Drosophila melanogaster: one gene and its partners. The protein of the gene in region 1 purifies or fractionates together with the protein of each later gene. This does not show direct contact. Each region holds a gene or a part of one and is shown in the gene's direction. Other genes may lie near its edges. The genes, in order: Gdi, GstE6, Prx6c and Rab3.

Region 1 (5,924 bases):
CAAATGCCGGTAAGACAAAGAGAGAGAGAGATAGAAGGGGAAAGAGGATGGAGAAGCCAGAACGATCGGAGGCTGTGTGAATGAGTGAGCGAGATGGATGCGAGCAGGTAAAAAACCCGTCGTATATTTTGGGAGGATGGGGGCCGAGGGCGGTGGGCGGGGCAGTTGGTCTGCAACGCCTAACTGGTTCTTGGCAACCAACTTGTTTTTTCTGTAGATTGCCGCCGTCTGTGCTTTATTATGTTTTTTCCCTCCGACTTTATGCCTGTGCAATTTTTAATATGGCAACTTGATTTAAACGAAAAACTTACCCAATAAAATCGTAGACGTGGATTTATGCTTGTTTTTCGATCAATTCAATTGCCTGCGGTTATTTTATCCTTGCCTTCGTGGGGGTTTTGTTTTATATTTTTTGTTTGAAACTATTTTTACACGGGGATGAAAACAACTTTTCAGCATGGCAACAATACAAAAATGTTGCAGCACATTCAAAGCAACAACAAGAACAACAGGGAGGTAACATATGATAACCGAGGTCAGGCGGAAAGTGTGAGCGGGACAGGAGATTATCTTTTTGTTTTCTATTTTGTATGTTTCCTCAGCGAAGGAATTACAATAAATAATTATTTCCCAAAGACTTTATTTCACTTGGAGCACAGCATAAAAAATCCCTGAGCCGCTCACTTTTTCACTTCCTTTTGTTGGGGTTTTCGTCTTTTTTTTCGAACTTATTTTTTGCCACGAACTCGAGGTTTGGTTTGTTGTTGTTGCTAAGAATTTCAATACAATTATGGCCCAAATAGCATTTTCACTTTTCCACACAAGCACGCAGCCACCGCACGCACACACACTCACACAAGTACACAGTTGTTTGGCTCCGTTTTAAATGAAAATATAATCAAACATTTACATTGCCGTGTGTTTTTGCTCCACGAAAATGTATGATTATGTATGATTAGTTTTCCTTGCTCGCTGCACGCGCGAAAATCCGACGAAACAAAGAAACAAGAAACGACGCGAAGAGAACGTAACAACCTAAATAAACCCGATACAAAAATCGCGTCCGAATCGGCTCGTCGTTTCAACCAAAATCACCAGTAAAACTTTGCAGAGGCTTCGGGATGATGTGGCCAGACTCGCTAACTGTGCTAACAGCTGTAAGAAGAATGCCCCTAGTTTCGGAATAAATGTCTATCGTGTCTCCGATAATAAATGTACGCAAATGTTGGTTTTCTTGAAATTATTACATACATTGAAAAGTCTAATTGCTTATATTGTATTCTCTTTAAAATAAAAAGTAATGAACGAATGCGTGAGATATGATATAAATAGAGATCTCCAGTAACTTAAAACTCGATAGGTAAACAGCGTTCAAATACTGTTTACAATAATTGCTGAATATCTTTTTATATTTTATATGATCGATCTGTGAATCCTCCGTTTTGTTATTTTATAATGTCTTGCTTTATGCAAGACCAACACATGCATTTAACAAATTTAAATTGCAACTATAAATTTGCGCGCGCGACATGCAGCCCTGAAATGTCAATAATCTAGGAAATAAACTTTTGCAAAATCATAATCAATTCAAAAATCTTGCACACACGTCTCTAAATCTTTCGTACATTAATGCTCTGTGTGCAAATTAAATATCTTATATGCTTGTTTGGTTATTTCCTTATTTCCATGTACAATTAGCAGCCGATAGCAACTCTTTCTCATGCAGCCCTGGGCATGTACGAAAACGTAACGTAACGTGACCAGCAAACGGCGTGACGGCAAACGGGCAGCGCAAAGCGGACGAGCGAAAGGCGAACGAGTAGAGAAAAATTATTGAGCGCAGAGAAAAGTCCACCAAATCGAACGTCGCAGCAAGTGAAAAGGGCGAAAACCGGATAAAAAAAATATATAAATTACTGTGATTGCAATATATAAATAAGTGCGATCCAATATGAATGAGGAATACGATGCGATTGTGCTAGGAACGGGCCTCAAGGAGTGCATCCTCAGCGGGATGCTGTCCGTGTCCGGCAAGAAGGTTTTGCATATTGATCGAAACAAGTACTACGGCGGCGAGTCCGCCTCGATAACGCCGCTGGAGGAGCTCTTCCAGCGCTACGGACTGGAGCCGCCCGGCGAACGATTTGGGCGTGGCCGCGACTGGAACGTGGACCTGATCCCCAAGTTCCTGATGGCCAATGGCCAGCTGGTCAAGCTGCTGATCCACACGGGCGTCACCCGCTATCTGGAGTTCAAGTCCATCGAGGGCAGCTACGTTTACAAGGGCGGCAAGATAGCCAAGGTGCCGGTGGACCAAAAGGAGGCCCTGGCATCCGATCTCATGGGTTCGTTAATAATGCTCTTTTAAGTCCCGTTGCCTTTTTGCTTGGCGGTGAGCCCCCCACGAAAAATTGTGCAAATTACCAGCTGTGCTTGTGTGTGTGCGTGGTTGTATGTATGTATTTTCGTACTCGACTGTTATCTGCTTCCCCTCTCTCGCCCGCACCACTCTCTTTCTCTTCTCTTCTTTGTCTGCCTTTTCACTCGCTGGCAAAGCTCTTGTTGTTGTTATTCCCTTTTTTTTAATGTGACACGTATGTGTGTGCCGAAAAACAGTTGTTTTCTTCGCTCGCCAAAGAATTTCTACCAAAGTTTCCCCCACACATATCCATTTCCACACCATGTTTGTTGGCCCAACTATTATCGCCCTATTCCGATTGGAGTCGAAATTTTAATCGCTCTGCGCTGATTCATACACCTGCCGCTAATTGGTCGCCTCCATTTTACACCTGAATTTCGCTTTGTTTGAAATTTAAGTTTTTCCCTCTTCTTCGTGGCAGCAATGCAATTAGCTAAAACACGCTCTATTTATTTATGATTGGCTCTTGAATTTTTCCATTTCAATTTTTACTTAGTTTTTGCAACCAGGTTTTTGGCCAGGCGCATTGAACCCCCTTCACTTTACAGTGGAGATTGCCTATAAACGAAAACATTTCATGACTTTAGATGTACTACATTTTTTAATTTTTGTCTTTAATTATCAATAATTTGCATATAAAATAGAAATTTTCAATGAAAATGTGACTATTAGGTAGATTTTACTTCCGTTTGTAACAATACCTATTGGATGTCTCAATTTGCTAATTGAAAGTTAAACACCTTGTCCATGCTTCACTGTGTCCGCATTACACATATGCTCGGAATGACGTCATGGGGTGGCCAAGTGGTTTCTGATTGTTGGTGGTGTGTCCTCCGCCCCCTAAATTGAAGGTTTCCCACTGTAGTTGCGTGCTGTTGTCCCAGTGAGTGTCTGTATGTGAGTGTTTGTGGCATGCAAATGAAATGGAAACGGGAAACTTGAAACCCTCGGGCTCGTGCACTCCCTTTATATGCAGATCCTGAACCCCAAACTGACCAATATGGCATTATGGATATACATATATAAATGTGACTTTACTTGCAGGTATGTTCGAGAAGCGTCGCTTCCGGAACTTCCTCATCTACGTGCAGGATTTCCGAGAAGATGACCCCAAGACCTGGAAGGACTTTGACCCCACCAAGGCCAACATGCAGGGTCTGTACGACAAGTTCGGACTGGACAAGAACACGCAGGACTTCACCGGCCACGCCCTGGCCCTTTTCCGCGACGATGAGTATCTGAACGAGCCGGCCGTGAACACCATCCGGCGGATTAAGCTCTACTCCGATTCGCTGGCGCGTTACGGCAAGTCGCCCTACCTTTATCCCATGTACGGCCTGGGTGAGCTGCCCCAGGGATTCGCACGTCTGTCGGCCATCTACGGCGGCACCTACATGCTTGACAAGCCCATCGACGAGATTGTCCTCGGCGAGGGCGGCAAGGTGGTGGGAGTGCGCTCCGGCGAAGAGGTCGCCAAGTGCAAGCAGGTCTACTGCGATCCCAGCTACGTGCCCGAGAAGGTGAGATTCACAAAAGATTTGTGTAAACTAGCCTATTAGTCTTTTGGAAATAACCATGTATTACATTTCTTTTATGTGACAGGTGCGCAAGCGTGGCAAGGTGATTCGCTGCATTTGCATTCTGGACCATCCGGTGGCCAGCACCAAGGATGGTCTCTCCACGCAGATTATCATTCCACAAAAGCAGGTCGGCCGCAAGTCGGACATCTATGTGTCGCTTGTGAGCTCCACTCATCAGGTGGCCGCCAAGGGTTGGTTCGTGGGCATGGTCTCGACCACCGTTGAGACCGAGAACCCGGAGGTGGAGATCAAGCCTGGCTTGGACTTGCTGGAGCCGATCGCACAAAAGTTTGTAACCATTTCGGACTATTTGGAGCCGATCGATGATGGATCCGAGTCTCAAATCTTTATTTCGGAGTCTTACGATGCGACCACGCACTTTGAGACTACTTGCCTGGATGTGTTGAACATATTCAAGCGGGGCACTGGCGAGACGTTCGACTTCTCCAAGATCAAGCACGAGTTGGGTGACGAGGAGCAGTAAACGGGAATGAAGGCCTCATCTGGTTATGGTGCATTTGGACAGCTCAACATCAGCCACAAACATCGTAGATCGTCTCAGCGTCGTGGCCAAACCTTAAAAAAAAAAATACCCAAGATAAGAAAACCCAAAATAAAAGCCCAAAAAAACTAAAGAAAACCGAAAATCCAGAAATTGTATTACGAAAATGCTTTCCATCGAGAGATGAAGTTTTAGATGTGAAACGAATTGCTTGCTTCGCGCAATATTGGATATGCCTAGAAAATATATATATATATATACCAATATAACATAAATTATACAACATGCAGTCGCGTATATATGTACGTCTATATAAATGTATAACTAAGTGAGTGTTAGGCAACTAAATCAAATTCCACAGATTCAGCTTGTGACTCGAGCAAAAGCGCTAGACTCGACAAACACTCTCCCATTTCGCCGATAGGCCAGTCAGTCAGACGATTACGCTTGGACTTTAGTTGTACGAGTATATAATAAAGTATATATATATATATAAAATATGACATCGTATATATATATTATCTATGTATATTGCCCTTCTGCTTGGTTTTTCTTTCTTTTTTTTTTTTGTGATCCACCCAATTTGTGTGGCTGCCAAGGCTCCAAACGAAAGCATAACACATACCTATAAACACGACACAAACTCTTACACATGCATAGTGCAGCATTATAATTGTAATTGTAATCCCCAGAAAGAAATCGATGGTATTGAAAATGTAAAACAGTCGAAAAAGTTCATCGCAGCATATACCCAAAAATAATGCAATTGATCGAAGCGCGGCAAACGACATATAAAGAGAACAGAACCTAAGAAGTTTGTCAATGGTATAGAGAACTATGGTATTCCGCATTTTCAGAATTTACATTTTTAATAAAAATTAAAAAAATATAAACATTTTTTTTTTTATTTACTATTTTTATATTGAGGGATGTTATGTTTGCTTTCCTTTCCCCAAAAGTCTGGTTTCTTTTCGGATTAAGGAATCTTGTCCTGGAGTTTTTCCACCGACTCATTTTATTGAACGTTTTCAGTTTCCGGTTCCGTTCAAAATGTCACTTGAGTTTTATAGCTACCAGCTTTTTATATGTCCTGGAGCTTTTCACCTTTCACACAGACTCATTTAATTTGAGATTTTTAGTTCTGGTTCCAGCCAAAGTGGCACTGAGTTTTGACGTCTTCAGCTTTTGTAACAGCCAAATGGCGGCAGATTTAAACTACATCAGTATGCACTGCAGTCCACGTAGTGACGAAGCGCACCATAAGTGTGTGCCAAGGCGGCTACTATATACACACAGAGAAATGAAAATCTGCTGTTTGACAGATCCTGGAAGAATATGGAAAGGATTTAGACGTATTCTTTGAGGTGACTTAGGATGGTCTGGTCTGTAAAGGAAATGGAAGGGATCTGGCCTAATTCTGGGT
Region 2 (3,013 bases), on another chromosome or scaffold:
CCAACTTGATAGCTTGTTATCAACAATCACGAAAGTATTATTTGAGTGAGTCAGTTCTAGATTGTTTTCACGAAAGTACTTAAACAATTTCGATTATCGTTCGACGAACCGTTAGACCGTATCAAATGATTGCATAATTTAAGCAGAACAGTATCTACAGAATTTGTAATTACACAAATTTTTAATGTTTCATTGAAACTTATGTTATTCTCTACACGAATCAACTCTTAAAGGACCAATCAACAAGAACCAACAAAAATTCTCTTAGAAATGTCTCTTAGCCATGCTCTCTTAACCTTTCCATTTGGTAACAACATTTGTACGCGCTCGATCCCAAGAATCAGTCAGTAGAGAACGTTAACTCAAAGTGCAAACATGGTCAAGTTAACTCTATATGGTGTGAATCCCAGTCCACCAGTTCGTGCCGTCAAACTCACTCTGGCTGCCCTCCAGCTGCCCTATGAGTTTGTAAACGTTAATATTTCGGGTCAGGAGCAGCTTTCTGAGGAATATCTAAAAAAGAATCCAGAGCACACGGTGCCAACACTGGAGGATGATGGTAACTACATTTGGGACTCGCATGCCATTATCGCGTATCTGGTGTCCAAATATGCAGATTCGGATGCCCTGTATCCCAGAGATCTGCTCCAGCGAGCTGTGGTGGATCAACGACTGCACTTCGAGACAGGAGTGGTTTTCGCCAATGGCATTAAGGCCATTACCAAGCCGTTATTCTTTAATGGCCTGAACAGGATTCCCAAGGAACGCTACGATGCCATTGTCGAGATCTATGACTTTGTGGAGACCTTCCTCGCTGGACATGATTACATTGCTGGGGATCAGTTGACCATTGCCGATTTTAGCCTGATCTCGTCGATTACCTCGCTGGTGGCGTTCGTGGAGATCGATAGGTTGAAATATCCCAGGATCATCGAATGGGTCAGGCGTTTGGAGAAGCTGCCTTACTACGAGGAGGCCAATGCGAAGGGAGCCCGGGAGTTGGAGACCATTCTAAAGTCCACTAATTTCACCTTTGCAACCTAGAGTTCTGAAATTATAATAAATAATTTGGAAACTTGTAAATATTGCGGTTTTTTATCTCTTTATATTTTAGATTTAAGAGAAATATCGCTGTAGGAAACAAGAGAACTTAGTTAGTTCCATTAAAGTAGCAAGAGAATGAAATGTGTATTAAGTACACAGAGAACCTATTACAGAATGTCGCTACATACATAGATAATATATATATTCTTGCCGGCAACAAACATTTTCGAGGGCTTTCCATTTTATTAACCTCTGTCAGCATGACTTGTATTTTCTGCCCGAGTACTGTGTAATCATTTTCACATATGATAAGCGGTTATCACAGAATACTTGTTGTTCTATGTTTGTGATTCATATAGTGCTCTCATATGTTCGCGCTAAAATACTTTTAATCAGTTTTTTTTTTATTTTAGATGTTGGGATAGGTTAAAAATAAACATAAAAAGAAAAGTAAAGTGAGTTCAAAAGAGTAGGAGGATACTTAAAAATTTGGGTTTGTATGACCAAAGACACTAGAATATTCTAGTATGACAAAGATATACATATGTATGCATGATTAGACATATATTCACATTCATACATATTATTATTGACTTGTAAAGTGCAGTAAATATAGAGATTTTTTCAAGTACACGGAATCTCTCTTAAATTTTCTCTTTCATTGATCCCAAGTTTTGTATATTATATTAGTTATTCGGCAGTTATGGGTTAGTTTGAAAAGAGACCCCACAGCGACAAGATGGTGAAATTGACTTTATACGGTTTGGACCCCAGTCCCCCAGTTCGCGCTGTTAAGCTTACTTTGGCCGCTCTAAACCTAACCTACGAATATGTAAACGTTGACATTGTGGCTCGTGCCCAACTTTCACCGGAATATCTGGAGAAGAATCCACAGCATACGGTGCCCACCCTGGAGGATGACGGTCACTACATCTGGGATTCGCATGCCATTATTGCCTATTTGGTCTCGAAATATGCCGATTCCGATGCCCTATACCCGAAAGATCCTCTCAAGCGGGCTGTTGTGGATCAGCGGCTGCACTTTGAATCCGGAGTGGTCTTTGCCAATGGCATAAGGAGCATATCGAAGTCAGTGCTCTTCCAGGGACAGACGAAAGTACCCAAGGAGCGATACGATGCCATTATCGAGATCTACGATTTTGTGGAAACTTTTCTCAAGGGACAGGATTACATTGCTGGCAATCAACTGACCATTGCGGATTTCAGTCTCGTTTCATCGGTGGCCTCCCTTGAGGCCTTCGTGGCCTTGGATACGACTAAGTATCCCAGGATCGGTGCTTGGATCAAAAAGCTGGAACAGCTTCCATACTACGAGGAAGCCAATGGCAAGGGCGTCCGCCAGTTGGTGGCCATTTTCAAGAAGACCAATTTCACATTCGAAGCATGATATTATTTTACAGTTTATATAGTCACAATAAATAATTGCTTAGAAAACTCTAGAGCTTTTGAATTTTTGTGGTGAAATAATTGATTTGGACACAAATGAATAGAAGAGGCGAGAGCAAAAACCTAACTGACTTTCTTATCTACTGCTCTCGCTTCTCTTAATTACTCTCTTTCGAAATTCTATAAATATAGTGACTCTTCGCTGTTGACGTTTAGTAATAGACGAGACTCTACCCAGCGACAAGATGCCCAAATTGATACTGTACGGCTTGGAGGCAAGTCCACCAGTTCGTGCCGTCAAATTGACCTTGGCTGCCCTGGAGGTTCCCTACGAATTCGTGGAGGTAAACACTCGGGCCAAGGAAAACTTCTCTGAGGAGTTTCTGAAGAAGAATCCACAGCACACGGTGCCCACGTTGGAGGACGATGGACATTATATCTGGGACTCACATGCCATTATTGCCTATCTGGTGTCCAAATACGGCAAAACGGACAGTCTCTATCCGAAAGATCTCCTCCAGCGTGCTGTCGTGGATCAGCGATTGCATTTCGAGTCCGGAGT
Region 3 (3,361 bases), on another chromosome or scaffold:
ACAGTTTCGAGGACCGTTTACCGTTATGTTTCGACCGCTCAGCTACCGCACGCGCGCATCGCTAAATTTGAACTGAGCCGGAGCGCCAAAAAGCAAAGCAAAGCGAAAGCAAAGAAGGAAAGCAGAAAGGAAAACATGCGGCGTGGGCGATTGCGGTGCTTATCAAAATCAGCTGTTCGGAAGCTGACTTCAAGCGTTAGCTTTCAGGCGCAAAAGCTCTTCCTACAGTCACCGATGCGAAAATAGAATAGCTTTTGGAACACTAATATCAGTCTCAAGTTGAGACTCTCAGCCAAAATATTGGTTGACTTACATTTGTAAGCCATTTTGTTAATGCATCAAGCTGGTAAGCAAAATCGTCTGCTGGGGCATACTTTCAGGCGAAAACGAATATTTTTATACATCCTTTTGGCGGCGGGTTTCTTTCTGATGTTTTTTTAAATGTAACATATTTATAAGGATTAATATCAACGATATGCGCGGCCAAATTGAATTCTTGCGGCTATAAGTGAAAATCCTCATAAGTTTTAATTAAGAGAGGTAGTCAAAAAGAAACACATTTTCTTACATTGTTGTTATTGTTTTGTTCTTATTATTAGGGTTGTTTTTTAAACAAGATAATTTGTGAGCTTAAATAAGCTGGGTTACAAAATATCGAATATTTTTAAACTAATTTTATTAATTGTTATTAATAAGTAGGTCATTAAATTTTTAACGATTAAAACAAATTCTATTTTCGGTATCACAAAACTGATAAGTAATGGAAAATTACTACAAAACGTTTATTATAGAGACGAAGGTTTCTGAATTCTTAGATTAGACCTTATAACTAGCACCCTCTTACGAATGTACTAGTAACTTAGGAAATACGATCGAGCTATTGGAAGTGAATCCAATTTTGTTAAAGATAACCCACCTCTAAATAAATTTAACACTTGCTGCATTTTGAATATCCATGATGACTATATCTTTTATTTTAATTTCAACCATCTGAATCCCATTTGGGTACTGTCTTCTGAGTTAGCGATCTGCCCATCCGACTTTCCAAAACCCATTCGAACTATTTGTGTGTTTTACTGAAAAAAAAACCTATGCTGGTGTGCTTAATATTCGATAGACCCACGCACACAGTCTCATGATTTCACTCGCTCTTCACTTTCAATTGGAGGCTCGTTTTGTGTACGTGAACGGGAGAGCCGTGCGATCTATGGAAGTGTGCGATTTTTGGAGGCACTCACAAATACCATCACACTGCTCGGCGCTCTCTTGCTCTCAATATCCGCCTATCGATGTGGCTGTATGTTTGCAGGTGTTGGTGCTTCGCCTCTATTTACCAATACCATTTAACATTTAAATGCTCTCTGGCTCTCTGTTTATGTTTGGAACCGGCTTATCTGTCAGCTGGACCAGATCAGCTGTTTGGATGTTAGATGCTAAAGGAGTTTGCGCCTATTGGACTTTTAAAATGAGATTAATGAAGAACCAAATAAGGAAAACAGTACTTTATTCTAAGATACTTCCAGAAGCATTTCGTCTCAAAGTCCAAATTATGTACCACGTTTTGTAGAGGCCCCTGTCGAGTTTCACACACATGACACCATGCTCAAGGTTTCCCACTCCCCCCACCAAAGCAAACTACTCCACAATCTGTTCAGTATTGTTTTATAATCTGTTCACAGAATAATATACTACAAACAAACACGCGCGTTGAGGGAGCGCCCATTTCCTATCTCTATCGCACCCGCTATTTACGTCGATCACGTTGGGTATAAAAGACAGCCAGCTCTCCCAGTCAGTATTCAGTAAGCAACAAGTGTGCGAGCTAAAAGCAGCTACCAGTTGAGCAACTAAGTTTTTTTGAAACTAATAATCAAACAGCAAGATGCGTTTGGGACAGACCGTACCTAACTTCGAGGCCGACACAACCAAGGGGCCCATTAAATTCCACGAGTGGCAGGGCAACTCGTAAGTGCCATCAAACCCTTTTTCTCTGATCGAATCTTACCAATTCTTCTTCGGATCGCCAGCTGGGTGGTGCTCTTCTCTCACCCCGCCGACTTTACTCCCGTCTGCACCACTGAGCTGGGCAGGATTGCGGTGCACCAGCCGGAGTTTGCCAAGCGGAACACCAAGTGCCTGGCACATTCCGTTGACGCATTGAACTCGCACGTGGACTGGGTGAACGACATCAAGAGCTATTGCCTGGACATTCCCGGGGACTTCCCCTACCCGATCATCGCCGACCCTACTCGCGACCTGGCCGTCAGCCTGGGCATGCTCGACGAGGAGCAGAAGAAGGATCCCGAGGTGGGCAAGACCATCCGCGCCCTGTTCATCATCAGTCCGGACCATAAGGTGCGCCTCTCCATGTTCTACCCCATGTCCACTGGTCGCAACGTTGAGTAAGTACCTCTTTCGGGCTACAACTATTGTTAATCTCAACTGACGATCCTTTAATCTTACAGCGAGATTCTGAGGACCATTGACTCCCTCCAGCTGACTGATCGCCTCAAGGTGGTGGCCACTCCCGCCAACTGGACCGTAAGTTTTTCTACCCACTTAATGCGAACTGTTCCGAACTAATTAATTCTGTTTCATAAACAGCCTGGCACTAAGGTCATGATCCTGCCCACTGTCACCGATGAAGAGGCTCATAAACTCTTCCCCAAGGGATTTGATAAGGTATCCATGCCGTCTGGAGTAAACTACGTCCGCACCACTGACAACTACTGACACAAAACCGTTCCCCATTTGTGATCCATTCAATAATGTGCCGTATTTCCTGACATATACTATATACTATGTGCAGTTCATTTATTTAATAAAAAATTATTTTAACAAAATATCCAAACTATTTTAATTGATTTAATGAAAGAAATTTTTGGAGAATAATGTAATCCAATCAGAATTAGGGGAGTTACTGCGATTTTGACGTTCTTTTAGATTGTATAATGTCTGTTTTTTATTTCCTTGCGGATGGTATAGTGATTTTAATCTATTGATGTATTTCTATTGCAGTTGGTAAATAAGTCAAAACTGTATAATATATACGATGGAATAATAGTGAAAATGAGATGGTGTACCTTTTTTGACAAATTATTTGGTTTTTTATTTTATCAAAATCGTAGTGTTCTTATTCGGAATGCATCAGTTTTTAAAACCATTAGTCGTAGAGTAAAAGGATATACTGGGATTTCTTAAAAAGCATAAAACAAATAAAATGATGCCTTATCGACCATATGAAGTATATAAATTCTTGATCATGATCAATATCCGAGTCGAGGCTGAGCTGTCCGTCTGCATGAACGCCTTTGAAATTTATTCATTTTATTATACATATGTTGAACTTTCTCGTTCGCAC
Region 4 (4,897 bases), on another chromosome or scaffold:
AAAAACAACGGAAAAAGTGTTTATTGCAATTTTAAAAGAGAGCAGTAAAGTTTATCTCATCTTTGGAGGCGCGATGGAGAGCGGATTTGATAAGAGCTGATAAGACGCAGCCAGCTTCGCAAGCACCTTTAAAAGCATGCTCAGTACCAAATCGCCTTCCATTGGGATTGGGTATCAACTCAAAGCGGATCCAGAATGCATTTCGGAGTCTTGGGAAGCGGTATCATTGGTCTTACGACCGCCTTAGAACTCCAGAAGGAGTTTCCCACAGCAAGGGTTTCCGTGATTGCGGATCGGTTTAACGAGGACACCGTCAGCTATGTGGCGGCTGGAATTTTCCGACCTGGAACCAGCTTTATGGGCCCCACCCAGAAAATTACGCAGTGAGAATCTGTTTGGGATTCAAACACACCTGTTGTGCATCTAACGACTTTTCTTTTCATCGTAGACAATGGATGACCGATGCCTTCAACTACTGGGATGAGCTGCGTCGCTCCAAGGAGGCTCCTCTGGCGGGCGTGTGCCAATTATCCGGCTATATTTACTCCCGCACCTCCCCCTCCATCGTACGGGTACGTTGCCGGGCAGTCGACAATCAGTGATTCTTATCTTCATCGGCTTAATTCGATTAACTTTGTTGTTGGCTGCCTTAGAACCACTTTATTGAGAAACTATTGCCCGTCTACCGAAGAGCCACCGAGGAGGAACTGAGGCTATGCAACGGCGGCTGGAAGTACGGATCCTTCTTCACCACATGCCTAACGGAAAGCCGCCTCTTCTTGCCCTATGCCACTAAAAAGTGAGTAGCTGTTTTATGATATGAAAGAGAAACAATTTGAAAATAATCGTAAATATTAACATATTGTAGATTCCTGGAGAACGGAGGAGAGGTTGTCCGTCAGCATGTGAACAGCTTTTTCGAAGTGCCGCAGAACATTGACTTGCTCCTTAACTGCACCGGAATGGGAGCCAAGGAGTTGTGTGGGGACCAGCACTTGGTTCCCATTCGGGGTCAAGTGCTCAAAGTGCGTGCTCCCTGGGTAAAGACGGCTTTCTACGGCGATTACGACACCTACGTTCTTCCCGGATTTGAGACTGTGACCCTGGGAGGATGTCGCCAATTCGACAGCTACAACACCGAGTGGTGCAAATACGATAGCATGGCCATTCGAGAGCGTTGCTACGATTTGCTGCCCAGTCTCCGGAAAGCGGAGATCGTGCGGGAATGTGTTGGTCTGCGGCCACACCGCTCCGTCGTTCGGGTGGAGCCAGAACTGATCACGAATCCGGAAGGCAGGCGGCTGAAGGTAGTCCACAACTACGGCCACGGCGGCTACGGTGTGACCACGGCTCCTGGAACGGCTATGTACGCAGTTCGATTGGTACGCGATCTACTAGCGGGAAACAGTAAACTGTAGGTGGTAAAATCGTTGTTAATTGTTGGTCATTAAACTCTTTATACTCAGAATCTTTGAACCCAGATTTGATTTGGATTTTTTATTGTGCAATAAACTAATTGCAGTTCTCAAGGTTGCGATATGCGCCAGTTCCAAAGGTTTCAAGAAGGAATATTTAGAATATTTAAAGAAACAATTCTTATAAATTTTATTTACTGTTTTTATGAGTTCCTTGGTCTATATTGTTTCAGGATAAGAACATGGGTTCACAAAGTGAACGAATAAATTCGCGCCCACGAATAAATTCAAATGAACCCCTGGGCCAGTGCTCCACAAGGCTGCGGAAGTGCGAAGTGCGCATGACCGGCGCATGAATGGAAAGCTCGCCCGAAATCGCCGCGAAAGCTACGCCCACACACAGACACCCCAGGCACGGAAACCCATCGATTTTCAGCAGCAGGAAAAGCAGCAGGGAAATTGTGTGGGCAGCAGCCAGTCATCCAGTCAGTCAGTTAGCCAGCCAGTCAGCCAGGTTGAAACAGTTGAATTATGAAAACGTATACAAAACTGGCCCGTTTTCGCCGCACCAGTCAATTCGCCGCCTGAGAGCGAAGAAAAAATTGAAAATTGTGTGTCCTTTGGTGTCGACGTGTCGAGGCAAAAAGGTAGAACAGTTGGTGCGTTGCATTTGCTGAATAATTGAGCCACTGCAGCCGGAGTCAGTTCAATTCTGGCCAGACGAGTGGGTCCGCGGGCGTGTGAATAGTTGATTGGGTAACCGTAAACAACTCGACGAATCAATCGACGTGAAATCGCGGCGTATGTCAGTCCAGTGCCAAGGCTGAGTCGAGTCCTTTTCCTTATCCCTTCAGCGAAAGGAGCTGCCATTATCGATTTGTGTGTATGTGCGAGCAACAACACGGCGTACCTCTCACCCACACATCGAAAACAGCAGGATATTCTTGTGACAGCAGGATCTGCAGCAGCACCATCATAAACAGCAACTGAGATATTAGCAGCAGATACTACTGTAACCGCAATAACCTCAAGAAAGAGTAAGTTTATCTGACACATTAAGTATCCGCCATGATGGACCAAAATGGGTGAATGGGGGTACTAGTTCCAGCTAAAACCAAAATACCTGAGTTTTCGCATCAAAAACTTTGCAGTATCAGTTCCATATTGTCAAATAATGAGGCCGTTGGTTGGAATTTATTATTTTTACATTAAACTTCATTGATTTTGACATTATAAAGATTACACATCAACTTTTTAAAAGTATTTAAAAGGTATTTAATAACTCAATGTTACTTTTATAGTAGTTCCAAAAAAACTTCTGATGGATTTCAGCTTAGTGTATCATATCTTATTGACAATAGATATGGGCTATACATACATATGAATGTGGCCAAATAATACATATGTAGTTTTACAACTTCCAGGAAAGAGTTAATTGTTTATTCCCATTGATTGATAACTCGGTATTTATGCACATGCCTAATATTTACGTTTGACAACAAACCTTAAATTGAAACTTTTCCAATTGGAACCGTTAAGGCAGGATTGAGTTCTCGTTTTGGCCAATATTGGGTTTCTTATCAATAATTAAACAAGCCCGCAGCTGCCGACCGCTGAACAGCTGCCAAATCATTGGAAATTTGAAACATGAAAGAGCAGTTAAGGGGGTGGGTAATGGGGGCAGGGTCTGGCAGCCACCCCCACGCAGGGGGAAAACAACAGAAAAATCGATAATTACACGCAGTCGAGCAGATAAAAACATTTCCACACAGCGCCTGTGATAAGGGCCGTCTGCCGTTGAAGACCTCTTATTGCGGCCCCTCTTTGGTGTCTGCGTTTGGGTTTGGGTTTGGGTTTGGGTTCGGGCCCCTCCAGGATATTTCTGGGCCTGAAGAGGCTTGACAGGAGCGAAGCCTGTCCTTTTGCCAGCAAAATCCTTGACGATGACGCGCGCACTCGGTCCTTCTACACCAAGTCGTTCATCAGCAATCTGACAGCGTTTTGCCGCTGCGCAACTTCTGATTCTGGACGGGGGAAATAAGGATGAGCGGAAACGGAACCAGGAGAACCAGGCTATATACACAAATTATCGACACAATGTCGCCGCCTTCATTGCATATGGAAAACAGGCAGCCAACCATCCCGAATGGCAAACTGTAAGCCGAGACTGTTGTCACTTGCCCAAGCCAAGGCTGAAAGTTTTCAAGGCCGCACCAGCCCACCAGCCCACCAACCCGCCGTTCAGCTCTGAAATTCGCTTTGAGTTTTCCCAGTGACGTGACAGGGATAATCAAGTGGGTCCTTTCCCAAGTCAGGCCGCTAAAGCCAACCCCTCCCGCCTACTCCAAGGATTAAAAGTCAAGGGAATTGGGGGGTTATGCTTTAGAAAATATAAACGCAACTTGTTTAATCCACACGCACGCGATTCAATCACTTCCGGGCACAGAGAGAACTCCGGTTGGCCACCAGTTGGCCTTGACCGGTGTTTCATGTGCACCATCTAGCCCCACCGGTTCTTCGTGCAGCATGGACCACAAATGGAGTGTCTATGGATGACATAAAGGTTGATAATAGCACATTAGCTACTCGACCAGCTCCATGCGAATTCCGATGTTGACGCCATCGCCCACGCCGCAAAAGGCATCGGCCTTGCAGCCATTCTGTACACCCATGTTTCTTCCCGTTCCTCTGTTATGGATCATTAGCTCCTCCGGTGTATCCTGATGGATGCCGCACTTGGACTTGGATTCATTGACACCGCTGAATATCACAATGCCAGGATTGCAAAAGTTACCCTGATTGGGAGCCATCATAGGCATCTGAGATGGCTGTTCCAGTTGCCTAGGCGAATCCTTCCGCATCAGCGTAGTCATGCATATGCTAGTGTTGCTGCTACTAGTTATTATGGTCGTGGTATCTATGGTCTCAATTAGCTGACCTTCATCCTCGGAAGCAGCGATGGCCGCCTCGCTTGCTTGCTCCTGCTGAGCTTTCAAGTCGCTTTCCCTTTGCCGCTCCAGTTCGCGCTCTAGTTCCAATTGCTGCTCCTGCTCGATACGTTCCTCTTCGTGCTCCTCCTGAGCTTGAGCCTGGCATAGCTCCACATGCATTCTGGACAACTGGGCGGCATCGTATGGGCAGAAGCAGTTTAGGCTTACAACTCGATTGCCCATGTGCTGGACTGGTCGGCTGTTACGGGCTATGGGCGAGATCCCATCCGGACCTAGGAGCAAACGAAAGTGACGCAGCTGAAAGTCGCTAATGGCTAGGGATTCGGGAAAGATGAACCATTCGGTGCCCTGGTAACAGGGCGGATGGGTCAGCGAACCGCCGTAGGAATAGAATCCAGATCGAAATTGATACATCAAGTAGGATATGGGAAATGGAGAAATCTGGACACGCTTTCCAGGCTTCTGAACCAATCGCAAATTCTGCACCAGGGGATCCAGGAACGGATTGTGCGCGGATAGCTCAAAGACGTA

Evidence for each region.
Region 2: the proteins of Gdi (region 1) and GstE6 purify together in Drosophila melanogaster (affinity purification with mass spectrometry, with the first as the bait; one large-scale study listed by BioGRID). This does not show direct contact.
Region 3: the proteins of Gdi (region 1) and Prx6c purify together in Drosophila melanogaster (affinity purification with mass spectrometry, with the first as the bait; one large-scale study listed by BioGRID). This does not show direct contact.
Region 4: the proteins of Gdi (region 1) and Rab3 purify together in Drosophila melanogaster (affinity purification with mass spectrometry, with the first as the bait; one large-scale study listed by BioGRID). This does not show direct contact.

Annotation. Positions count from the first base shown.
Region 1 is NT_033779.5:9,490,643-9,496,566, reverse strand, and holds Gdi (GDP dissociation inhibitor), read left to right. Parts: upstream 1-1,690; 5' UTR 1,691-1,951; coding exon 1,952-2,345; intron 2,346-3,463; coding exon 3,464-3,939; intron 3,940-4,021; coding exon 4,022-4,483; 3' UTR 4,484-5,391; downstream 5,392-5,924.
Region 2 is NT_033778.4:18,404,259-18,407,271, forward strand, and holds GstE6 (glutathione S transferase E6), read left to right. Parts: upstream 1-1,752; 5' UTR 1,753-1,783; coding exon 1,784-2,452; 3' UTR 2,453-2,503; downstream 2,504-3,013. Other genes in the region: GstE5 (glutathione S transferase E5), read left to right, coding at 376-1,044; GstE7 (glutathione S transferase E7), read left to right, coding at 2,697-3,013.
Region 3 is NT_033778.4:10,416,923-10,420,283, forward strand, and holds Prx6c (peroxiredoxin 6c), read left to right. Parts: upstream 1-1,795; 5' UTR 1,796-1,882; coding exon 1,883-1,965; intron 1,966-2,027; coding exon 2,028-2,402; intron 2,403-2,465; coding exon 2,466-2,541; intron 2,542-2,604; coding exon 2,605-2,733; 3' UTR 2,734-2,839; downstream 2,840-3,361.
Region 4 is NT_033778.4:10,726,160-10,731,056, reverse strand, and holds the start of Rab3 (Rab3), read left to right. Parts: upstream 1-1,853; 5' UTR 1,854-2,452; intron 2,453-3,784; exon of another isoform or gene 3,785-3,997; coding exon of another isoform or gene 3,998-4,897. Other genes in the region: Daao1 (D-amino acid oxidase 1), read left to right, coding at 196-383, 449-572, 654-799, 869-1,418; CAH13 (carbonic anhydrase 13), read right to left, coding at 3,998-4,897. UniProt on the Drosophila melanogaster protein: Involved in exocytosis by regulating a late step in synaptic vesicle fusion. Could play a role in neurotransmitter release by regulating membrane flow in the nerve terminal.